2 linked regions of the Canis lupus familiaris genome follow. The protein of the gene in region 2 purifies or fractionates together with the protein of the main gene of each other region. This does not show direct contact. Links are inferred from orthologs where the notes say so. Each region holds a gene or a part of one and is shown on either strand. Other genes may lie near its edges.

Region 1 (3,821 bases), on a different chromosome or scaffold from region 2:
TTTTTTTAGATATTATGTATGGGTAATGGGGAACTGGACACTTTGATGGTACAAAGGTGCAAAAAAAGTTTATGCTAAGGGAAAAACATAAATACACATAAGAGGGATAAGCTTTCTCCCGGATTCAAGAATCAATCTTAGTATCTTTAATGGTGACACAAGTCAATTTCATATGCCTCTAGTTATGAGAAAATATGAAATACACAACACCAAAAATGCTGACTTGATCTTGACAAGCCTTTACACCTAATTTCTAATTTACAAAAATAAGCCAAATCTCAGGAAGCAACCAGAACCAGAAGATGGAACATTTTAGAACAACTGGTCCTATCTCTTTAACAAGTCAATATCATGAAGAAAGGAACAATGCTAGATTAAGAGATACCTAAAGGGTACAATAGCCAGGTGTAACACATAGTCCTGCACTGGACCCTGGTTTGAAGAAATCAGGTGAAAAGGACAGTTTCGAAACTAGTGAAGAAGTATGAAAATGGACTAGGGTCTGCACATATTAAAGAAGAACTATTGATTTTGCCAGGGTTTGTACTATGAGATTGTACTATTTTGGCTACCTAATAAATATCCTCACTGTTTTAGATAAGCATACTTACATATTGAGGGGTGGAATGTCATGATATATGTAATTTATTATAAATCCTCCAGCATAATAAAGAATAAAATGAATCAGAATAGGGGGGAAAAAAGCATCATACTAAAGTCACAATGCCTGAAAACAGGAGTGTGGACACCCAACAGAGTAAAAGCTGTCCAATGGATTCCATCTACCACTCTGGGGACCCACCTCTGACAGTTTTCTTCTTCGATATTGGTAAGGCCTGTCACAGAACTGCTCAACTGTTTCCACACTGTGTTCATGTCCCCTGACTCCAGTGCCCTGTTGATTAGGGCCACAGATGACAACATCTCCACGGCAACAGATAGCTCAGGATGGGTGAGGCTATGCTGCACAGAAAGGAGAGGAAAAAAAAGATGAGGACATTCCGGGATACCAAGTGAGGTCAGGACTTCAGTTAAGCCATAAGAAGTCTAAGTTTCTGTTTTTTTGTTTGTTTGTTTTTTTAAAAAAGGCTCTGCCAAGCACACCAAGAAGTAGGTGTTGAGTTCACTTCTGCCCCATTTTGGTCACAAACAGGAGAGGTTCAGCTGACTTACTTCAGGACTCTGTTGCTGCAGGGTAGCCAGCTCTTTCTGATAAAGATCAGCAGCAAAGGGATACACCTGGGGCAGCTGGGCCTCAGGATTCATGAGCTCCAGAACAGTCTTCTCAGCAACACCCTTCTGGATAGCAGCATTGATTGCCGCCACAGCTGCCAACCCTGCACAGAACACAGGTCAGAAATGCAGCTGGCTTGGGAAGCCCTGAGAGGAAAGAGATTCAGTTTTCACAGAAGAAAGTTCTATTCTGCAGATAAACTATAAGCCATGATGTTTGAAGTGGAACTTTCATCTTTAAAAAAAACAGCCTCCCTCTTTGTATGAAGATGAACTGCAGGCTATGCCAACTATATCCCAATAAAGCTATTTTCCACTCCAATTCATCCTGCGACTCTTTCTAAAGCATCTCTCCCATCCCATGTAGCCTGGCGAATCAAGTACCAGCTTCTTAAGCTGCCACAATCTTTCCAAGGGTTTATCTTACACAGCTCAACCCCGAATATCTACAAATATTGTATTCTAACCGCTGTTGCTTCAAAACATCTTTGACCTTTGGCACCTCTGCTCACACCTCCTTTCCTCCCTGCTCAGGTTAGGAACATCCTTCTCTCTCTGCCACCACCCAGATCTTACCAATCAAGCCCTAAGACTCTGCTCCAATGACCAAGTGCTTGCTAGCCAGAGTAAGCCCACACTGACTCCAGTTCTACTCTAAAACTAGGGTAGGGCACCTCTAGTGGCACCTGCTGGTCGATTGTGGCTAGCAGGCTTGGGGTGGGGGTGAGAAGTGACAGGATCTGACCTCAGATGCCCTAGCGACATTAACCCCACACAGTATCTCAGGGAGAGGACTCTTACTTCTTTGATACTGTTGGGCAGTAATGTTTGCAGCATCCACTCCAGACTGGAGCTCCTCCTTCTGCAGGGGATCAGCCTGACCACCCTGAGAAAAGCAAAGAACATTTATGTAAAGATTCTCATGGCTATGCCTCCAGGCCTTACAGTTGTATCTCAATAGCAGTCACAGGGACAAAGTTCGGCCCTAAGTGGATGTGTCAGGCTGCATCAGAGAAAGTGGTAGTCCTAGTGGGAACCAATGCCCTCACCAAATCTGGGGTAGAGGACTTTCCAGATACTAGCACATAAAAAAAAAAAGTTTGTAAGAAGCATCAAAATACTGACGTAAGGGCAGCCCCGGTGGCGCAGCGGTTTAGCGCCGCCTGCAGCCCGGGGCGTGAGCCTGGAGACCCGGGATCGAGTCCCACGTCGGGCTCCCTGCATGGAGCCTGCTTCTCCCTCTGCCTGTGTCTCTGCCTCTCTCTCTAGCTGTGTGAATAAATATGAATAAATAAAAAAAATATAAAAAAAATAAAAAAATAAAAAAAATAAAAAAATATGAATAAATAAATAAAATCTTAAAAAAAAATACTGACATAAGATGTTTACAGCCTCATTAGCACATTAATACTGTTTGCTTTGGCCATAGATACTGGGAATCTGCAAAATGTGCACTTGATGGGCCTTGTTCAGACAAAAAAGAAAGCCATTTGTGTTTGTTCTACCAGCCCCACTAAGTACAATTACACAGTCTGCTCTTACTGCACATTAGTTAAGTACTTTCCCAGTGCTGGCCAGAGGAAACTAGTGATGTGTGTTTTTATGTAGGAAATTCCTGAAGTAAGAATGTAGGAGAGATTCAGGTTTTCCCCCAGGGCTTTTCATTGGAGGGTTAAAAAGGATGCTTCAAGTGAAGGGGTAGTCAGGTTTGGAGGGCAGGTAGTATTTATGTTTAAGAGGGTTTACAGGGACGTCTGGGTGGCTCAGTGGTTGAGTGTCTGCCTTTGGCTCAGGCGTGATCCCGGGGCCCTGGGATCAGGGCCCTGAGATCGAGTCCCACCTGCATCAGGCTCCCTGCAGGAAGCCTGCTTCTCCCTCTGCTTGTGTCTCTCATGAATAAATAAAATCTTAAAAAAAAAAGGTTTACAGCTATAAAAGCAAACAAAAGCTAAAGACAATCTGTATTTTACCTGAGGATATTATAAAAACCTACATTAAGATGCAGAAAGTTATGCTAAAAACTATAGGTTATACTGTAACTATAGGGAAAAGAGATCCCACAAATATGTTTCAGCAAGAACACAAGATTCAAACAGCTGTATGTGAATGCCTGCCAGCCTGACCCACGATCCTCACCTGTCTCTTGTGCTGTCTGTCACTCAGGAGCTGCTTGAGGTACCAGTCCCCGTTTTGCTGCTGCAGCCCTCGAAGGCCCAGGGCTGGTGACTGCAGTGCCCGGAACAAGGCAGGTGCCACACCCTGCTCCAAAGCCAGGTCCACATTTGCTAATGCAGAAGACGCTGAGGAGGGGGAAAGGCCGCAGCTTATGAAGACGTTTTGTGAACATCACAGCTTACATCACTTTCCTTCCCCTAAACCAACCTCAATTTCAGAAGAGCGAAATATAGCTCAGATGGCCTTTGTTCTGGAATATCCCAGAAGCACAAGATCTTGGAATTGGAAGAGAACCTTAAACTGCTCAAGTTCAGGGGTCCCCAACTGGACTGTTTGTCAGTTAACAGATTCCTGGAGCATGCCTCAGACCTACTGAAAAGCTTTCAGATACAGACACCTTAGCACTATGGGGC
Region 2 (2,342 bases):
TCAGCAAATCATTGATTTAAAATTACAGCTTTAAAAGCTTAGCACGTGGGAACCAGTTTATAAAATAGTTCACGGTGAGCGCGGCCGGGGGTCATTGCAGAGAAAACACTTTCAAAACCCGAAACCTGGGGATCCCTGGGTGGCGCAGCGGTTTAGCGCCTGCCTTTGGCCCAGGGCGCGATCCTGGAGACCCAGGATCGAATCCCACGTCGGGCTCCCGGTGCATGGAGCCTGCTTCTCCCTCTGCCTGTGTCTCTGCCTCTCTCTCTCTCTCTCACTGTGTGCCTATCATAAAAAAAACAAAAACAAAAACAAAAACAAAAAAACCCCGAAACCTGCGGGAAGGACTTCCACACGCAGTGAGGAGCTCGGGGAGAAGCAGAAGTCCGTGCTTCTGTCCATGACGCCATCCTCCGCGGCCCCCTGGATGTGAGCCCGGCGACGGCGGGCGGCGGGGGCACATACCCCGCATGTCCCACGGTGCCTTTCTGGGAGCGTCCGGTGGGGGAGACGCTGGGGCCCCGGCCCCTCTGCCGCCCCGTGAACATTCTCTCTGCTGCGGACACGTCGCTGCGGTGGCCGAGGGTCAGGGACGCGCCGCGGGCCTCGGCTCATCGTAAGCGGCGGCGCAATTTGTCCTCTCTCGTAGGAGATCAAGGAGCAGGAGGTCGTGGACAAGGTCATGGAGACACTGGACAGTGACGGAGACGGCGAGTGCGACTTCCAGGAGTTCGTGGCCTTCGTGGCTATGGTCACCACCGCCTGCCACGAGTTCTTCGAGCACGAGTGAGGCGCAGCCGCGCAGGAAGCGGAGCGGGGCCGAGTCCCTGGCGCCGTGTAGCTGATTAGGAAGCTTGACGTGCTTTGTCGAGGAGACGCCGACCCCCTTTCCCGGGGCTGACCTCGGGGCCCCCATCCTCCGCTGACGGTCCGTGCGACGCGGTCACGATCCTCAGGAGGGTGTGTGCTCCGCCCGTGGTCAGGGCCGCGCACCCCCCCCCCCCAACAACGCAGCTGCCGGGACCCAAAGGATGGCTCTGGACGCACGTGGGTCCTTGTCCAAAGTACCAAGTTAGAGACGCAGCTTCGCCCCGTATCCTGTGAGAAGCCTGCCTTTTCCTAAAATGGGTTTGTCATCCGTGCGAAGGAAACCCAGGGTCGGGAGGTGGCCTGACACGCCTGCCGCCAGACGGCCAGGGCATGCTGTCCCCGGGTCCCCGCTGAGCCATGGGAGCTCAGCAAACAGGGCTACAGCACTGGGCGGGGGCAGGGGGGGCGGGTCTCCCGGCTGTCAGGGCCGACACCGCATTCTAACCACCTTCAGCGGGGCTCCTGTGCCCCGGGTCACACGTTGGTGCCGAGGCAGGAGCGCGGCTCCCAGCAGGGCGTCCACGCCCCTCCGCACACAGGTGTTCTGCAAACAGCCCCTCTGGCCTCCCCTCCTGTCTGGGAAGCGCAGGTGTCGTTCCTCACTTGCTTGTGCCGAGACAGGGTCTGCCCCGCAGCGGTTGGTGGAGCCCGAGTACGTGGGAAGCTCGACGTCACACATGGGTACCCACGAATCCAAACGTTCAAGTATTAAGTCACTTCCGGGAAAGTTCAGATTAACCTTTTCTGCCCCTTTCCCTGCTGCTTCTTTACGTGCACAGACCTGGAAACCCATAAGCCAATTGATCGCTTGTGTTTGCATCGAATAAAGAGAGCATTGTAACGGGTCCCCGTGGCCTTGAACAGGAGGCTGGAGGGAAACTGCTGCAAAGGGGGGGAAGCAGTAAGGGGCAGGCACAGGAGGCCCCCCAGAGCCAGGCGGGTGCACAGGGCCCGGGACCCTGGGATGTGCCGGGGCGGCAGGGAGTAGATGCGGCGGGGTGGGGGCAGGAGGGCCGGAGGGCAGGCCAGCACCGGGTGGGACACACCCTGGCCGAGGCTCCCACCCTGGACGCAGCGCTGGGGGGCAGGGGGGGCGGGGGGACTCGGAGACAATGGTGGCGGAAGCCAGCGCGCAGGGACCATGTGCAGGGACGGCCCATCCTGCACCCCTGGATCTGTGTCTACACCGCAGTCCCTGCCGGGCGATCCGCAGGCCTTCCTGCCGCAGAGGACGGGGGACAGGGCAGCTGGGATGCCGAGCAGGGTGCAGCGGGTGTGTGGCAGCCCGGGCGGGCCCTGCAGGGCTGGAGCCTGACGCCCCAGGGCCTCCGCCGCCAGGGCCCCTTGCTAAGGAGCAGGTCCCTGGAGGAGCCCTCACAGTAGAAACGCCCCGAATCCTGCCCCACGAGGCCAGGCGTGCACGCAGGGAGGGTGCCCCCTGCACACAAACACCCGCCAGGACCACGTTCCAT

What was found.
Region 1: the proteins of S100B (region 2) and IQGAP1 purify together in Homo sapiens (co-immunoprecipitation; 3 studies listed by BioGRID and IntAct, with this or other methods). This does not show direct contact. The link is inferred for Canis lupus familiaris from reciprocal best matches to the Homo sapiens genes S100B and IQGAP1.

The regions. Positions count from the first base shown.
Region 1 is NC_049224.1:54,215,770-54,219,590, forward strand, and holds part of IQGAP1 (ras GTPase-activating-like protein IQGAP1), read right to left. Parts: intron 3,534-3,821; coding exon 3,370-3,533; intron 2,120-3,369; coding exon 2,035-2,119; intron 1,338-2,034; coding exon 1,174-1,337; intron 964-1,173; coding exon 803-963; intron 1-802. UniProt on the Homo sapiens protein: Plays a crucial role in regulating the dynamics and assembly of the actin cytoskeleton.
Region 2 is NC_049252.1:39,767,435-39,769,776, reverse strand, and holds the end of S100B (protein S100-B), read left to right. Parts: intron 1-649; coding exon 650-790; 3' UTR 791-1,736; downstream 1,737-2,342. UniProt on the Homo sapiens protein: Small zinc- and- and calcium-binding protein that is highly expressed in astrocytes and constitutes one of the most abundant soluble proteins in brain.